Oryctolagus cuniculus: one gene and its partners. The protein of the gene in region 5 interacts with the protein of the main gene of each other region in a pairwise test. Links are inferred from orthologs where the notes say so. Each region holds a gene or a part of one and is shown on either strand. Other genes may lie near its edges. The genes, in order: YJU2B, MID2, PGBD1, DZIP3 and ZNF24.

Evidence for each region.
Region 1: the proteins of ZNF24 (region 5) and YJU2B interact in binary tests that used the Homo sapiens proteins (3 or more experiments, as listed by UniProt). The two-hybrid records come from large-scale screens. The link is inferred for Oryctolagus cuniculus from reciprocal best matches to the Homo sapiens genes ZNF24 and YJU2B.
Region 2: the proteins of ZNF24 (region 5) and MID2 interact in binary tests that used the Homo sapiens proteins (3 or more experiments, as listed by UniProt). The two-hybrid records come from large-scale screens. The link is inferred for Oryctolagus cuniculus from reciprocal best matches to the Homo sapiens genes ZNF24 and MID2.
Region 3: the proteins of ZNF24 (region 5) and PGBD1 interact in binary tests that used the Homo sapiens proteins (3 or more experiments, as listed by UniProt). The two-hybrid records come from large-scale screens. The link is inferred for Oryctolagus cuniculus from reciprocal best matches to the Homo sapiens genes ZNF24 and PGBD1.
Region 4: the proteins of ZNF24 (region 5) and DZIP3 interact in binary tests that used the Homo sapiens proteins (3 or more experiments, as listed by UniProt). The link is inferred for Oryctolagus cuniculus from reciprocal best matches to the Homo sapiens genes ZNF24 and DZIP3.

The regions. Positions count from the first base shown.
Region 1 is NC_091447.1:62,806,135-62,810,144, reverse strand, and holds the start of YJU2B (probable splicing factor YJU2B), read right to left. Parts: upstream 2,817-4,010; 5' UTR 2,660-2,816; intron 1,999-2,659; 5' UTR 1,823-1,998; coding exon 1,820-1,822; intron 632-1,819; coding exon 578-631; intron 1-577. UniProt on the Homo sapiens protein: May be involved in mRNA splicing.
Region 2 is NC_091453.1:85,475,297-85,479,465, forward strand, and holds the start of MID2 (probable E3 ubiquitin-protein ligase MID2), read right to left. Parts: upstream 2,807-4,169; 5' UTR 2,714-2,806; coding exon 2,677-2,713; intron 1-2,676. UniProt on the Homo sapiens protein: E3 ubiquitin ligase that plays a role in microtubule stabilization. Mediates the 'Lys-48'-linked polyubiquitination of LRRK2 to drive its localization to microtubules and its proteasomal degradation in neurons.
Region 3 is NC_091436.1:153,741,312-153,745,493, reverse strand, and holds the start of PGBD1 (piggyBac transposable element-derived protein 1), read right to left. Parts: upstream 2,808-4,182; 5' UTR 2,578-2,807; exon of another isoform or gene 1-2,577.
Region 4 is NC_091435.1:64,435,402-64,437,581, reverse strand, and holds part of DZIP3 (E3 ubiquitin-protein ligase DZIP3), read right to left. Parts: intron 2,160-2,180; coding exon 2,016-2,159; intron 1,928-2,015; coding exon 1,826-1,927; intron 88-1,825; coding exon 1-87. UniProt on the Homo sapiens protein: E3 Ubiquitin ligase proteins mediate ubiquitination and subsequent proteasomal degradation of target proteins.
Region 5 is NC_091441.1:42,258,296-42,261,811, reverse strand, and holds part of ZNF24 (zinc finger protein 24), read right to left. Parts: intron 2,509-3,516; coding exon 1,970-2,508; 3' UTR 1-1,969. UniProt on the Homo sapiens protein: Transcription factor required for myelination of differentiated oligodendrocytes. Required for the conversion of oligodendrocytes from the premyelinating to the myelinating state.

The DNA of each region.
Region 1 (4,010 bases), on a different chromosome or scaffold from region 5:
GTGGGGACCCCATGGGTGAGGGCCAACCTTTCTCGCCTCCCCAACTGGCAGCTGGAAGAAGCTGTGTGACCTTGGCCTCCGCGCCTCAGTTTCCCCGTTTATCTATTAGCTGGGGCTAACGGGCCTTTGGACCTCCAAGTTTTGGGGGCAGGGGTCGGGGGGCACCATGAGCCAGATCCCCATCCTGGGGTCATTTTATTTGCCCTCTTGACATGGGGCGGGGGTGGGGGAGGAACTGTGGCCTGCCCTAATCCCTCCTCTACGAGGGAGACCCAGACCCAGCCACTCCTGGCCACCGTGGGCGGGGTTTAAGGCATGCAGAGAGGCAACAGAGAACCAGAAGGTGATGGGGTGGGGGTGGGGGGGGGCAGGACCTCTGTGTGGAACGACCTAGAGGGAGGCAGAGGGGGCGACAAGGTCGCCATGGGAGCCCCACCCCCGCACCCTACCGCATCCTAAGCTCTGCTGTGTACATGCTGAGCCTGGCACTGGGCACGCAGGGGATGTCTCCAGCATGGCCACTGCAGCCCCCCACCCCCACTCCAGACACCCGGGAAGGCAGGAAGCCGCCCCTTACCTTCTCGGGGTTGAAATCGGGCGGGTAGTACTTGTTGACGCCTTTCCGTTCCCCCTGGAGGACAGAGGAGAAAGAAGTGACTCAGAGCCCGCCTCCGGGAGACCGGCAGGTGCACGCGGCCTCCGGGGATGGGGGGGTGGGGGTGGGGGCGTCTGTCTTCGCGCCAGAGTCATCTCCTACGCAGTCAGTGCTGCTGGCCCGTCTGACCCCCCACCCCTAAAATATCCCTGTGTTGTGATTGGCTGAATCCGCGGCCGTGGACCCTGTGGTCACAGAGGGGGAGGGGGTTGCCTCTGTCCGGTCCAGGGGCTCTGATCTGGCTGAGGGCCAGAGCCAGGGGTGGGAAAAAACCCAAGGTCAGTGTCACCGCTTTGGACAAGTCCAAGGGGAAGTTCAGACGCCGCTCATGGAGCCGAGGGCACCTGGTAGCAGCCAGACTTGGAATCGTGAATGGGGAGCCCTCCCTGGGCTCCCCATGGGGTCCTGCCCACCCTCTCCGGCCGGCGCCCCCACCGCCTACCAGGCGCCAAAGCGCCTGGCTCCACGGTGTACAGGAGCTCCTTGGCCTAGGATGGAGACACGTCGCTCTAAAGCTCTCAGAAATGGAAATTATTTTCAGTCAAAATGGGTTTAACGCCCGTCACCGCTCAGCAGCGCTGAATCCCGGCCAGGTCAGGGACCACCCTGCCCCGTGTTGCGGGCAATGATGCTGGGGGGGGTGGGGTCACGAGTGTTCAGACCCATTCTGGGGGAAGGTGGGTGTCTGGGGCAGTGCTTGGGGGATGCTGCACCCCCTGCCTGTCTGTGTGCCTGGTTCGAGTCCCGGCTGCTCCACTTCTGATCCAGCTCCCTGCTAATGCACCTGGGAAAGCAGCAGAATATGGCCCAAGTGCTTGGGCCCCTGCACCTGCATGGGAGACCTGGAAGAAGCTCCAGGCTCCTGGCTTCGGTCTGGCCCAGCTCCGGCCGTTGCGGCCATTTGGGGAGGGAACCAGCAGATGGAAGACCTCTCAACTACATAAACACTGCTGCCTCCACCCCTTCCCGGGAGATCTGGGCGCGCTGCAAAGCTTCGGAATCTGCAGCAAGACGTCCAGGCTGAGAGCTGGCCAGAGTGGCCGTGACCTTGGCAGACGCCGACTTGGGGGGGTGGGGGGTGGGGCCGGAGGAGCGGGACTCCCGGCAGGCCCGACAGAGACGGAGCCAGGAACCCAGGGAGCGCCCGGCCTTCCCTCCACTCACCATCTTGGTGGCTGCCTACTGGCCTTGGCCTTCAAGGTGGCCGACCCACAACGTGCTTTCTCGAGCCTGGCACAGGGGCCACGGCTTCCCGGGGAGGATCTCGCGGGCCGTGCGGCGGAGCCAGTTCAGAGGAGTCTCGGGCCCGATGGGGGAGGCATCCGAGGAGCCGCGTGCATCTCCTAGGGAGGGAGGGAGGGAGGGAGGGAAGGGTCAACTCCACAGCGGGCTACACGAGCGAGCTTCCTGGAGCACGGGATTAAAGGTTATGTTTATTCTGGTGCAAAAACACTTGGAATCCAGGGGCCAGCATCGCGGCATGTTAGGTTGAGCCAACGCCTGCTGCGCTGGCATCCCATGTGGGCGCCGGTTCGAGTCCCGGCTGCTCCACTTCCCATCCGGCTCTCTGCTATTGGCCTGAGAAAGCAGTGGAAGATGGCCCAAGTGCTTAGGTCCCTGCACCTGCGTGGGAGACCCGGATGCAGCTCCCGGCTCCTGATCAGCCCAGCTCTGGCCGTTGCGGCCATCTGGGGAGTGAACCAGCAGATGGAAGACCTCTCTCTCTCTGCCTCTACCTCTCTCTGCAACTCTGTCTTTCAAAAAAGCAAATCAATCTTAATTTGGTTTTCCGAGCATCATTTTACAGCGTCATTGGGCTTAAAGGCAAGGGCTCCCTTCCAAGGAAGACAAGGGCCCGCATCAGACGTCATAGGGGCCCAGGGTTAAGTCGGGGGTCGCAGCGGGGGCCCGGGGGACCTGGGTCGCCCGCCGGGCCCCGCACCCCTCCCATTCCGTGTCCGCCCAGGAGCCGGGTGGCCCCTGACCCCAAGAGCCCGCACTTACCTGCCCTCCTCTGACGTCACGCCGCGACGGTCCCGGAAGCGCGCCCTGGATCGCGGCGACTTGACCCCCTTGCGCAGGCGCCGGAGCGGGGCGGGGGCGGGGCGAAGCAGCAGCGCCGCGCTGATTGGCTGAGAGTCCACAGCCCGCGCACTCACAAGCACCGGAATGGAGCAGAACGAGTATTCCCCGCCCCCACGGAGCCACACCCCCTTTCCCCGCCCACTCCGCGCGAGGCCCAATCGGAGGCCTGCTTTCTGATGCCGCCCTCCCGGAAACGCCGCGTCCTGCGCTGCCGCCGCTGAGTGATGGGTGTGTGAGCTGCACAGGCGCTGGCTTCGAGCGTGTGTGCGCACGCGCCTGGCTGTGGGCTGCCCAGGCTCCGGCCTGTCGGCGTCGGAGACGTGTGGGTGGCGCCGACGGGGCGGTGGCCGGCGCCCGGTCCACCCTCGCCGCAATGAGCTGGGCGGCAGGTGTCTGCGCCAGCAGGAAAGACGGGGTGCCCTGGGACCCCGCCTGGCCGGGCCCTCTACGGGGCAGCTGTGCATCTTCCACTTCTACGAACGGGGAACCGGGTCCAGCCTCGGACGCAGGCGGCACACCGCAAAGCGCATGCGCAAGCACGCGCGAGGCCCCGCCCGGACGCCTGGGCAGGTTGTCAAGGCAACCGGGGCGGGGCCAGGATGCCGACTGTGGGTGCAGGCGGTGCACCGCAAAAGCATGCGCAAACACGCGCGGCCCTGACGCCGGCGCGGTTGTTAAGGCAACAGGGCGGGGCCTGAACGCCGATGGTGGGGCAGGAAGCGCACCTCAAAACGCATGCGCAAGCACGCGCGAGGCCCCGCCCGGACGCCTGGCCCGGTTGTCAAGGCAACCGGGACGGGCCAGAACGCCCACGATGGGTGGAGCTTCTCAAACGCGTTCTATGATTGGTTGGCCCGAAGCCAAGTTTCCGTCCATCACCACAGGCGGAGGCCGGCCTGGGTCCACGCACAGCGCTCGCTGGAACACGAGCGCTCAGGGCGCCCCGCTGGACAGGGCGCTTCCCCTCCCCGTTTCCTCTGTGGCCTGGGCGCTCCGGGTGGCTCTGGACGGCGTCTGTGCTTAGTGTCTCAGAGTGAGTCAGGGGGGACTCAGCCCACGCAGGGGACTCAGCCACGCAGGGACTCAGCCACTCAGGGGGGACTCAGCCACGCAGGGGGATTCGGCCACGCAGGGGGGACTCGGCCACGCAGGGGACTCAGCCATGCAGGGCACTCAGCCACGCAGGGGATTCAGCCACTCAGGGGACTCGGGCCACGCGGGGGACTCAGCCCACGCGGGGGGGACTCGGCCACGCAGGGGACTCAGCCCA
Region 2 (4,169 bases), on a different chromosome or scaffold from region 5:
AGTGGAAAGAGAAACATATCTTGATCTTTGGAGCAGAGGGATTTTTTTTTCTAAAGGAAGTCTGCACAGGGGAATGATTGCAGTTGAGATTTCTCATCTCAATGCCACTCATCTGGCCTTCTCACTTATTAGGTGACCCAATGCACTGATTGAGAAACACTTTTCTAGTCTTCTCTGTACATTGCTCAATGATTTACACAATTTTTTGAGAAACCTGAAATACACTAATTAGACACCACTCTGTTACCAAAATTTCATGCACTGACAAGTAAATGGATTTGAACTCTAAACTTTTGAATATCCAGAATGAACATGTAACACCTCATATTTTGATGACACAGTGCTGCAAGTCAAAATATTCAGCTTAAATAAGCAGGCACTTCATAAACAGAAAGCCTCATTTTCCCCACTGAGAGGAACAAAATGTAATTGCTAATCAGAAATAGAGCACCCCCTTAACCACCAGTCACATTCCATGACCTAACACCTAGGAAGTTACCAAGATCCATAAAGACAGATCCACATGAGACATGTTCTGGGGGTACCACCAGAACAGCCATTTGAAACATATTCTGTGCCTCAGCTCTATCTTCACCGTTTCCATGGCTCTATGTCCCTACTGAAAAACAGAACTTGAGTTCTAAGGGATAAAATGAAAAGATAGCATTCCCTCCTCTTTCCCAAGCCAATGAGGTTTGCTGAGTGATAAAGATATACTCTTGTAGTTTCCATTCTCAACTGCTGTAGTGTCAGCAGATTTTATGGGGGGAGGGATGAGGGAATGGACAAGCTCACTACCCAGAGCAGTATCTGGATACAATTATGAGACTCCACTGGCACTACTTTAGGACCAGCAAGTTGGAGCAAGTTACCCTGCTCTTAGAGAAGGGATTACCTAAACCAATTTCATCTAAATCTATTTGCACTGTTCCGATACACTCAAGAAGCAACCAAGTCACTTTGAATTGCAGCAGCACTCTCTGGAGGAGGCCTTGTAAGGTACAACAGGCTAGATGGGAATTCTAGTAGTCACAAAAGTAAATAGGAGGGACAGAAGTAGCCCTTCCTGTACCTAGCCGCTATCTCTACCCTGCACAGCCCCTCCCTGTACTAATCCTGGAGCTGCAGGTATGGAGTTAGGCCTGGAACAAGCAGGAGGCCAAAATGCTGTGCCAAGTCTGGGGTCTCAGCCCAGTCAGCAAAGGACTATTCACAATAAAGGTGCTTAATAAATATTGTTGACTCATTGCTGCTAGCTGCTAATGATGCTTATAGAGCTATGCCTAAATTACTGTCAGTTTTCATTAGAAATTAACTAACTGTCACCCAAGTAGGCTAAAAAGGGGCAAGATTAGATTTTCAAAGGAGTCTGACTCAAATTGTGAGGTTAGAGTACATTAGATATGATTTAAGCACTTATATGATTTATACCATTATCTGTGTGCCAAATTGTATGTAAGTTTTTATTCAATTGTACACACATTGGGGAGAAACAGACTTAGGGTGTAAGTATAACAAATTTGGCTTCCAAAGGGTTAACAATGGCAAATTAAGGTTTCCCATAAACTAGGGTTCTTACTAATGCCCAATCCACTAACCCAATAAAAGGTAAATGAAGTGCTTTCTTTGAAAAGTATAATGCTGAGGATTTATAGAACTCTTTCATCTTCAAAGGACCAAGGCAAAACTCACAATACCCAACACACAATATTATGCCTTTTACAGAAGTGCACCAACTATGAAAGAAAGGTCATAGGCATGTGCTAAGGTCATACAGCCAAGGCAACATCAGATTTGTCATGAACTCCCTGATCTTCAGGTTTCCTAGACCTCACAAAAATCAATTTGTGAGGAACAATTAGGAGAAATCTAATTCACATTATGTGTCGGCATTAAAATAATTCATTGGGCAGGAATAAATAAAAATAGCAACTGTTAGGCCTTCAGGGCAGTGATGAGTGGAGAGGAGGTAGAAAGGGGAGAATGTGTGGAAGCGGGAATAACCATCTGGATAGAATGAAATTGCCCCCCAAAACGAAAAAAAAGTAGGGGAGGGGACCTCCCTGTTCAACAACCCCCTCTATTGGGAAAATTGCCACAGAACTGATCGGAGTACTGGGAGCAAACAGAAAAAGGGTTAAAGGCAGCCCTTATAACCCAACTTGAGATCAGACTAAGCAACCCACGCACAGTACTTGTCTATTACACAATTTCCAATACACTGTATTCCTTTAAAAGGGATCCTCCTTAAAGACACACAACCATCGCCATCCACCAGCCCCACATTCTGAAATCCTCCAAAGGGCAAAGTGGTTGAAAAAGCAAGAGGCTGCGTGGCTGGGGAGTGCACAGATTGATGGGGACAGGGTGAGCACGGAAGTGCCGGAAGGGCCATGGGGGGAGATCTCGATGGGGCAGAAATTTAGGTATTTTCGCCATAGGAAGAAGGTGAGTGATCCTGAAGGTGGTATGGAAGTGCGGAAGAAAGAGGGAAAGTGCTGAGCCCTACCACCCTAGGATCCCAATTTCCTGCTCTACAAGAAACGCCTCCGAAAAATAATGTGCTGCACACGAAGTGCTAACTAACCGAAACCAGCAATGTTTCTGTAAATCGACTCCGCCGTTATTTACTTAATACTTACGAGCAAGGAATGAAAAAAAAAAAAAAACACACACCTCTCCCTGATTCAGTCGCAGTCAGTCCTGTGGACATACGTTAAGTTTCCCCTCTCCCCCACACAGCTGCTTTCACAGCTAGGCCAGAAATAAGAAGCCACCCAGACGTGGAGGATCGCTCCGGCGGCAGAAAAGGGATTAAGTTTCGCCTGGCCTCCCCGCCGGCAGGGTGTCCGCGGCATCGCCCGCTGGCTGCTGGGCCAGCCCCGCCAGACACGGGCGCCTCCCGGGCCGACTAGGCTGCCGACCGCGGAAGCGTGGGAAGGCAGTAGTGCCCTTTTCCCAGACTCGCGCCCAGGCACCGAGGGAACGGCTCGACTGCCAGCGCCCAGCCCGGCGCGGCTCCGCTGGAGGCCTCGGGCCGCCCCCGCACCGCACCCTGGAGTACAAACTCCGTCCGGGGGAGGGGAGGAGGGGTGGGCGGCAGCGGCAGCAGCCCGTGCCCCAACGGCGGACCGGGGAGCCAGAGCCGGACCGGGATCCCGCCGCCGCTGCCTCCAGCCTCACGGGCCCCGTCACTCCACCCTGCCGAGCCCCGGAGCCCTCGGCCAGCGCCGGGCCCGGCGGCACCTGAAGAGCGGCCGCAGCCAGGGCCGAGACCTGAGTGGGCGAGGACACTAGACCCTTAGGGCCGCGGCGAGGGGGCGCGTTTTACCCATAGCGTTCCCAGGTGCCAGCCATCTCCTCCGCGCGCCAGAGAGCGCCGGGCGCTCGCTTGCCTCCGCAGCGAGCTGACTCGGGCTCCAGCGCAAGCTCCCGGGCCGCCGTCGCTGCCGCCGCCACCACCACTCTAGGCCGCCGCCCGCCTTCGCTGCCGCCTTCGCTGCTGCTGCCGCTGCCGCCGCCGCCGCCGCCGCCGCGCAGCAGCCAGGATCCAGCAGCTCGCGCGGCCCGCAGGGGACGGCCCGGTTGTCGCCTCGCTATCGCGGCCGGCTCTCCCCGGCTGAACTTAAAGAGTTTTCACTCCTCAGTCCAGGGGCAGCACCATGACACCACGCTAGCACCACATTGTCATTTCCGCCGCCGCAGAGGAAAAAAAAAAAAGGCAATCCTTTCGCAAAGGGGGGTGGGGGTGGAGAGGGGCAAACAGGGCTGGGGCTAACACCTCAAGGGAGCACTGGGAAGGGCCCCGGCAGAAGGGACCCTGGGCCACCTTCCAGGGCTCACCTTCCGCCACCCCCGCCACTCCCAGCTCCCCTAGCCCCTCCTCTGGAGGCGCATTACATGTTTTCTCCCCTGGCAGGAGTGACCAGAGAAACCTGAGCAGGCAAAGGCAGCCGGTGGGTGGGGTTCGGGTTACTACTGTACCTACCAGCTGATTCCAGCAGCCTTTTCTCCAGCGCCCTGGCATCTTGAAGGAAGGCACACGGAGAGGGGCCTGAGCGGGCGTGTGTGTGTGTGTGTGTGTGTGAGAGAGAGAGAGAGAGAGAGAGAGAGAGAGAGAGAGAGGAGAGAGCGCGCACAGAATGGAAATGCAGAAACAAGGCTATAGC
Region 3 (4,182 bases), on a different chromosome or scaffold from region 5:
AATGGCCTGGGAAAGGCAGCAGAGAATGGCCCAAGTGTTTGGGACCTGTCACCCACATGGGAGACCCAGATGAAGCTCCTGACTCCTGGCGTTGGCTTGGCCAGCCTGGGCCACTACAGTCATTTGGGGAGTGAACCAGAGGATGGAAGATCTCTCTCTCTTCCTCTTTTAACTCTGACTTTCAAAATAAAATTGAGGCTGGCGCTGTGGCATAGCGAGTAAAGCCACCACCTGCAGTGCTGGCATCCCATATGGGTGGTGGTTCGAGTCCTGGCTGCTCCACTTCCAATCTAGCTCTCTGCTATGGCCGGGGAGAGGAGAAGACGGCCCAAGTCCTTGGGCCCCTGCACCCACGTGGGAGACCTGGAAGAAGCTCCTAGCTCCTGGCTTCGGATCAGTTCAGCTCCGGCCACTGTGGCTATCTGACTATCTTTTTCTGTCTCTCTCTTTCTCTGCTTCTCTGTAACTCTGCCTTTCAAATAAATAAATAAATGTTTTAAAAATATAAAAATTAAGTTTATTTTGCTGCAAAAATTTTACCTATGCACAGTTTTTTCATAATATGCATTTGCATTCTTTTTGAAAACCTTGTATATGAGTGACTCCCAAGTGAGACCAGCAGTACAATTGACCACTCAGCCTACAGATCCTGAGAAACTGTTTTAAGTCACTAAATTTAGGGTTTCCTTTAAGATAACTGAAACAGTACACACGCGTCAAGTTCCTTTTTTCTCTCTCCTTGCTTTCTCCTTTTGTGATCTCTATCACAATGTCAATATCTATCTCTTCCAAAACCACCCAAATCTCTGTCTGGTTCTAACTGACCTTTTACTTCCCTGACCTACAACTTGAAATGCCAGCAGGATACCTCCAGCTATAGGATTCTCCTGCACTATAATTTCAATAGATCCCAAACTGAAATCCCCTCAAGGCTGTATTTCACCATGTATTTGTCCATTTCTATTCATATCACTGCCATCTTCCATGCATTTAGGATTAAAATCAGTCAAGTCTTTCTACAGAACGCCTCTTGCAGCTGTTCTTTCCTTTTATCCTACTATCAGTTTAATTAACTAGGACTAATAATTTTCTGTGTGATAGACCTGCTTGAGTCCCTTCTCTATATGGTCACAGGATTAGCAGTTTCTCAATGCACAATTCTGACAACATTCAACACACCTCCTGTGACACTATGAAATATTTACTTGGTATTTGTCCTCAAATCCGTGAAATCTTGGAAGTGAGGATGTCTCTTTGTATGCTTAGGATCAACTGACAGCTGGAAGCTCCTGAGTAGCTTCAGGATGGGGGTGGTCAGCAGACAGACTGAGGCAACATTAGTGTGCTAGGACTTCCAGCTCCAGCCTCAGGGGAGTGGAGACGGGCTGAAGGTTGAGTTGACGGCCAACAGCCAATGACTTAATCTCTGTAATGAAGGCTCCTCAACCCACAAGGAGAGGATTTGGGGACCTGCTGGACAGCAGAACATGTGGAGAGTGGTGTGGATGCCCCATGCCCCTTCTCGCATACTTTGCCCTGTGCAACTCTTCATCCACATCACTGGGAAAACCCTTTGCAATATACCAGTAAACACTGTATGCTTTCCTGAGTTCTGTGAGCCACCCTAGGAAATGAACCAAATCCAAAGAGAGGGTAATGGAAACACGGTTTACAGCCAGTCCGTCAGAAGCACAAGAAAAACCACCTGGTGCTTATGGTTGACATAAGGAAGTGGGGCGCAGTCCTCTGGGACTGAGCCCTCAACCCGTGGGATGTCACTCTCTCCAGGTAGAACATGTCACATGCGACTTGAATTAGAGGACACACACTCAGCTGGTGTCTGCCGCAGAACTCACTGCTTGATTACCTGTCAGTGCAAACGTCAAGCAGGAAGGCTTCCATGTTGACTGCTGTCGCATGACTGCAAGGTTTGCTTTTCCTACCAACCTTCTCAAAGAACGTCTGAATACTTCTCCTTGGATGAAATTCAATCCCCCAGGTTCAATTTATCTCAACTTTTCGAGTGCCTCATTATTTTCAGACATACAGCTAAGTCCTCATTTAAATTCACCTCTACCTTCACGAAAGTCACTGCCATGCTGGCTACTCAACAAGTCTCCATCTTCTGTCCTTTACACCACCACTGTGCTTCCAATGGTAAACTCCCAACGCCCAGGGCAAATGCCAACTAAGTACAGACCGGGAAAACTATTCTGTCTCTAGGCCACGCAGGTGGAGGTGGGGTGTACCATACAAACCTGAAGCCACGCCCCTCTCTCCATTTCACTTCACCCCGACATGCTCCTAAACACAGGAGCTTATATACTCCAAGAGCCCGGCACGTACCTGGTAGTCAACAAACACTGCTGGACTTCTTGACGAAGGCACGCAGATGTACCCGAGATGCCAGTAGCCAGGGCACCCTCGGGCGGAGGGGGCGGGCTGTATCTAAGATTGCACCCCTGCACCTCGCATAGCGCCTGGCACACGGTAGACACTCAATAAGCGTGTGTGTTTCACTGCTGGTTAAAAGACCATTAAAGTTTAGGAACTGTACACAACAAAGATGTAGCCGACCTCGCGAAAGGCTCGTTCCCACCGGAACGCGGAGGCCTGGGAGGTGCCGGCCAGTCTCCCCAGAGGCCGGGCCGCGGCGTCTCGCTGGGCGGGTGAGTCTCCCCGGGGCTCCCTGCGACGAGGACAAGGGCCGAGAGCGCGTCTCACACCCAGAGCTAAGAGTCAACGGTCTCCGGTCTCCCGGTGCCGGCGCTCAACGCGCAGCTTCCGGCGGCTCGCGCCTCTCTAGGAGCGCGGCCGCTCCTCTCTGTGGTGCGTCGGGCGGAGCGCCGCCCCACGCCCGCCCGCGCGGGCCTCGGGCCAACGCGCGATGCCCGGGGCACCTGCACGGCCCGAGCGCGTCACACGTTTACGGAGGGGCTTTCAGTTAAAACGCGACAGAATAGCAAACACAAAGACGAATCTCACTCTTCGGGAGTCTTCACAGAAATGGAAGATCAACCAATAGTTCAGGTCAGCAAACTGTACAGATTATTTTATGCAGATTATATATGTAAAGAATCAATTTGTGCAAAGATGGTAAAATCAAAAGTGCCTCATTCCCCAGAGCTAACTACTGTCAATGTTTTGTGTATAGCATTTAATAAACCTCTTGTTTGGTGAAAAAGTACTCGTGTATATGTATTTTAAAACGCTTAACGGGATCACAATTTAATTTTGCAGCCCACACAACTTATTCTTTTTTTTTTTTTTTTAACATTTATTTATTTGAAAGGCAGAGTTAACACAGAGAGATGAGAGACGGATCTTCCATCTACTGGTTCACTCCCCAGATGGCCGCTATGGCCAAGACTGGGCCAGACCAGGAACCAGGAACCAGGAGCTTCACCTGGGTCTCCCTAAGCACTTGGGTCATCCTCTGCTGCTTTCCCAGGCGCATTAGCAGGGATCTGGATTGGAAGTGGAGTAGCCGGGACTCGAACCAGTGACGACACTGGATCCCGGCAGAGCAAGCTGCAGCTTTTACCTGCTGCCCCACAGCGCCAGCCCCCACAACTTATTCTTTAACAGCTAAATAGTATTCCACTCTATGGGTGTACCTTAACTTATTTAATATCCCTGTTGATGTACAAGCTATTCTGTAGGCATCAGCATTCCATGTGTACATTCTTTTGTGAATTCATTTCTAGGATAAACAATTGCACCAGTGCACCTGTTCAAAGGGCGTGTGCATTTGAAATTTTGGTATACAGGGGCAGGTGTTTAGCACAGCAGTTAAGATGCCCACATTCCACATCGGAAAATCTGGGTTTGAGCCTTGGCTTCTTTTCTGATTCCAGGTTCCTACTGATACGCACTTGGGAGGCAGCAGAACTAGGGTACCTGCTACCCACATGAGAGACTCAGAGTTCTAAATTTCTGCTTTCAATCTGCCCCAGCTCTGGCTGTTGCAGGCATGTTGTAGAATGAACCAGCAGATGGAAGCTCTTTCTCTGCCTGTCTCTTACTGTCTCTCAAACTAAAATTAAAATTTAAAAATAAAATTTAAAAATACAATTCCCTATTAAATTTTCAAGGACACTGCTCTTTAAGAATAAAAGGAGACTCTAGTGGAAAAATTAGCAGAGGTGAACATGCCTTGTCATAGAGTCAGAATTATAAATG
Region 4 (2,180 bases), on a different chromosome or scaffold from region 5:
GGGATGACCAGGGAATTCTTCTGGTAGCAAAACATGGAGTCTGCAGGTTGGGCATGTTCCCTGTTGCATCAGCCATGGTCTAATGCACTATGGAGAAAAAAGATTAATGTCAGTCTCTCAGATTTAGCCTAAAACAGACAGATGTTACTCTATACCAAGATTATCAATATAATTGTTAATATGAGAGAGAGGTCTTCCATCCAATGGTCACTCCCCAAATGGCCGCAAGCTGTGCTGATCATAAACCAGGAGCCAGGAGCTTCCGGGTCTCCCACACGGGTGCTGGGGCCCAAGGACTTGGGCCCTCTTGCACTGCTTTTCCAGGCCATCGCAGAGAGCTGGATCGAAGTTGAGCAGCTGAGTCTCGAACCGGCACCCATTTGGGATGCCAGTGCTTCAAGGCAGGGCGTTAACCCACTGTGCCCCAGTGCCGGCCCCGCCATGATAACTTCTACAAATATGATACCTCTCTGTGGTTTGCTGAGGTTATAAATAGCTGGTAGCTGCTAAACATATTTCAGCCATTTTATTCTATAAAGATTCTTTCCTCAGTCCCAATTTATAGGAAGACTAGCAATCCTTTCTGGTAAAGAGATTGAGGAAATTTGTTATATTCTCTCTACTTTATTTTCTTATACATTGTTCCTACTTATAATTCAGAAAAAGTTATAATTACAGACACAAAAGATACCAATACCGGGCATGAAGTACTTGTGGTGTTCTAAAGTTAAAAATCCCAAAATATAGTTCTCAGATTGTTTTATGAAAACAGTAGCAATCTTTGGCTGTGAACTACCTATTAAACTATTGGCTTGAATACTGACTCTCCAAGCACATATCATTTTTATCTGTATGAATAATGGATAGCAAGGTCAAAATAGAAATGATCAAGTATTATAAGGAAGGTTCACTAACTGAATGAATTATGTGTGTTCTGTTCAATGGCCAATGGCAAAGAATACAATAAAAATTTGTTAAATCATTTTTTTCTAAATGACTAGAACTTCTAAAACTTCAAAATGGGAAAGTCAGGTGGTTAAGTATCTTTCCTTGGAGATATTTTGGGATTAGCCATTTTCTGTACATCTCTTCATATTAGATGATGTGTAAAATATAATTCTACTGTGATTGTATATCTTTGAAATGATGTTTTACTACTATGGCTTGAAGGAGCATGCTATTGTTCACTTTACTGAGAAGACTTTCTTGGGTAGATTACATTTTCCTCCTTCAATTTATATCTCTGCAATACAAGACTCAGTCCATTAATTTTGTATCAGTTAACATGTGCACAGCCAGCAACACCAAGAAATAATCTACACAAATGCACAGAATCAACAAAGCCTAGGTCAGTCTCATGTTTTTCTAAAATCAAATCTCAAACCTACAAACACAGAAGACTGTTATGGTAACTCATGCTTCATAATGATAGAGAGCCATCATGAGATATAGACAAAGGATCCTATGTGTAATTTATATTATTTCAAGGTAAAATAGCACTGCTGCTAGTTCTGCCAGTAAAATTCCATACCAACCAACATGTCTCCTAGTTCTATTCAAGGGAATTCCGTCTACTTTGTACCATCTTATGTTATCTTTATGTTGTTCTCCTGGATGGCAAATAGAGATCTAAGAAAGCCTGCCACAGGCTATATAAAGAGGCAAAAGGTATGAATATTTCTGTGTGGTATACAAAATTACAGAATTATCCTAGTGGAATACATGACATGGCAATGATATATGTATGTGATTTTAAGTAATGCAGTACGGATCTCTCTTGGCTGATTAATGATAAAACATTAACAGAACAAGTTTAAAGAGTTACCTGAGAGTGAAATTTGTGAGCACAAGGCAAAACTGAAAGGTTTTCTGGAGACAGATTCTCATGACAGATCACACAAGGTTCTTCTTCCTCCTCCTCTGCCTCCTGGAGAAAATTTATACAATTAAAATTTATTTATTTATTTATTTTAACAATTTCTAAGTGTGTACAGAATCAATTATTTCAGTCTCACCAAGTTATTGGCTCCTTCCCATGTGGCAGAATCTTGTGAACTAAGAGGCCTCCAGGCTGCTTTTGGAGGCTGGGCAGTGTTAGATTGTGATGGAGAATGGCTAGGTGAAACACAATTACCATTTGGTACTGATTTTCCTTGACTCTGAAAAATAGAAAATTATAC
Region 5 (3,516 bases):
TTTATAGCTTTATTGGACATTGACTTGTTTCCTCTCAGCCACGAAGAGAAAAAGACCCAAACAAAAGTCCCTACATTTCTTGTATAACTTAAAATACATTATATCATACTACATATTTATACTTCAATAAATCTTAATCTATAAAGCACATTTCTTATAATTATCAGAAAATCTATAAACAAGCTCCATTCTGCCTCATATCTCCATCAACTGGCCTTGAGTTTATTACTATGCTTTTTAATAGGCTCATGCAACTCTCACCTTCCATTTTTAAATTTGATCCAAGTACCAGATATATCCAGAATCTCTGGAACTATGTAATATTTGTATTCACATGGATCATTCTCCACACAATGAAGCCCATCATATATATATAAAAAAAAGCCTTTTCTCATATTCTATATTTCAACTTCCAGAGTTTTCCACTAAACAGTAGAACCACAGTACTTGGGATTATCAGCCAAGGAGTAAATAATCCTACTACTACAATGTATTACTTTAATACATTTTTTTAAATGTTAAGACTGAAAATTTTTTAAAAAATTGATCAATTCTGGTAGTTAATAAACTAGCTGTTAATAGTCTAGTTGTTTATTTCTTAAACAGACACAGTCCATTCAACTTAACATATATGTAACAACTCCAATGCTACTTGAGATTGGTTAGTTTAAGATTTACAAATCTCCAAACTATTTTAAGAGAATTATCTTGGGCTCACCTCTGAAATATGTGGGAGAGCTGGCGGCTAGCTCTTAAGTAGAGTCCTACCCCAATACAACACCCTGGTGAGAGCACACTGGCTCTGGAAATCAGAGGTGACCTCCCCGAGGAATGTTCAGACATGGGGAAGGGGCTAACTCACACCCAACAACTTTGTACCAAACCCCGTAACAATTTACAGTGGAAGAAACACCTACCTACCTAAGTAGGATTACAGTACCTAGCACAGTGCCTCGTCTGTAGACAATGTGTAATAAATGCAGGGCTGCTTCTTTAGCCTGGTGTGCAACTCTGTTATACCAAAGAAATAAAAATAGCAAACCTGATTGTTAGTTGCCCACTTGTCAGGGAATTTTATCCTTAACAAAGATGAAGGCAAAACAGCCCAAAGAGACCATTACCTTTATGTTCATATTTGCCCTTCAACACTGCATTTATTACAAATTCTTCCCAAGTGTTGTATTTTCTACCTTTATAGTTTTACAATTATTTATCGTTTAGACTATCTACCTTTCAGTAATACCTAGAACAACACTTATATTCATTAATTAGATGTTTCCAAATTACAGACACGATGAGTAGTTCGAGTTTCCTACAGGTGAATGACTGCATTTAGATAAACTTATCAAAGTATTTGCATTATCTTCCCCAATCTAGATGTCCCATTCACTTTTGATGTTTTATCAACATCACTTCTTACCTGAGATCTTAAGGCTCATTTTACTTTGAAGTTTTTAGTCATCTTTTATCTTCTATTTTCTTAAATGCATATTCGAATTAGGTAAAAAGAAACAGAAAGGCAAATTCTTAAAAGATATCTTAAAAGTTTAAGATGGTTTTCAGATTTCATAAATTCCTCTATGTTGCCTTTTAATGTAGAAGGGAATGTATTCTTACAAAGAACATTTCAATGATCAACACAAACAATCTGTCTAAAAAAGGAAACTTTTAAGAAAGGGACAAAGAACCAGGCAGTTCATTATTTGGAAATAGAAAATATAAACATCACATGGAAAATTTAGGTATTAATACCTGAATTAGTCTGAAATTTTCAGTTTCTAGGCAGGTATGACACCATTTCATTCAAGATAAAATAATAATGGTGAGTAAATATATTTTTACATTTCCAAGTGGATTTTCTGACAGTCAATAGGGAAAAAACTATTATGTAATATTTCATGTTTTAAATTTTGTCTTCATTTCTGAAGAAAAAGACCTGAGTGCTGATTCTTTTTTTTTTTTTAATTTCTCAAACTTTCACAACATTCAGAAGTTTTTCTGCATTGTGTCTTCTCTGATGTCTAAAAAGATTTGAGCTTTGACTATATGATTTCCCACACTGAACACATTCATACGGTTTCTCCCCAGTATGGATTCTCTGATGATTAATAAGCCCAGAATTCTGGCTAAAGGCTTTCCCGCATTCAAGACATTTGTAAGGTTTTTCTCCAGTATGGACTCTCTGGTGTTGCACAAGGATGGAGCTTCTGCTGAAGGCTTTCCCACACTCAACACATCCGTAAGGTTTCTCCCCACTGTGGATTCTTTGATGAAGAATGAGGGCTGAGCCCTGACTGAAATGTTTTCCACATTCATCACATATATGCTGTTTCTTCCGAGAGGGATTTCTCTTTCTTTCAAACCTGCCCTTGGGGAAACAAGTTTCTCCGTATTTAAAAATCTGAGGAACACCTATATTCAGAGTGCCAGGAACTTCCTGAGATTCTGCTGCCGAAGGGATCTCCTGCTTTGGAGCCAGTGCTCCATTTTCAGTCCTAGCATCATCATCTGAAATAGACAGAAAATGTAAATATCATTCATATCCTATTTTAGGGCGAAAGAAAGAAAAGCTTTTTTTTTTAATGAACTAAAAGTATGTTAGGAACACCTATAAATGCACTCTGAAAATTGGTGTTCAGGTTGCCTACTATCAAAACAGAAAAAATGAAATGACTAATTATGAGGTTAGATAATAGCATAATGATGTAAAAGTTGTAGATATAACTTAAGCAAATAGGTTGTAAATGGCAGTCAGAAAACAAAGGACAAACAGATGGTGGATGCTAAGATGGTGAGGTAGAATAGTGATATTGTTAGGCCTGGATCAAACTTTGTTAAGAAAAAATTAGGAAACTGTTATAACGTTCTTGCGCTTTGATAAAAGGAGAAATCACTGATGTAAACAGCAAAACAGAAAAAAGCTATTTCTAAAATGAGTAAAATAAGGTAAGTCACAGCAAAGATTAGATTAAAAGCAGAACATGGGCATCCTGACCAGAAAAGAGCTAAAGACAAGCTTGGGGCCTCCTTTGTTAACTCAAGACACGACATTTCAAAACATCCTGAATAAGTAAAAGGTTTTCTATAGGGGCTGGCACTGTGGTATAGTGGGTAGAGTCACTGCCTGCAGCACCCATACGGGTAACAGTTCAAGTTCACTGCTGCTCCACTTCCAATCCAGCTCCTCACAAATGTGCCTGGAAATGCAGCAGAGGATGGCTCAAATCTTTCAGCCCCTGCACCCACGTGGGAGACCCAGAGGAAGCTCCTGGCTCCTGGCTTCGGATCAGCCCAGCCCCACTTATCATAGCCATCTGGGGAGTAAACCAACGGATAGAAACTCTCTATATCTCTCCCTCTCTAACTCGGCCTTTCAAATAAATAAATCCTTTTAAAAAAAATTTAGAAGTCAACTTTATAAAAAAAAAAAAAAAGGTTTTCTATAGAAGCATCCGCTCTGTTTGAAATATATCATGGTACTGAGAAAAATTTTTATTTCTAAGTCTCACTGAGAAA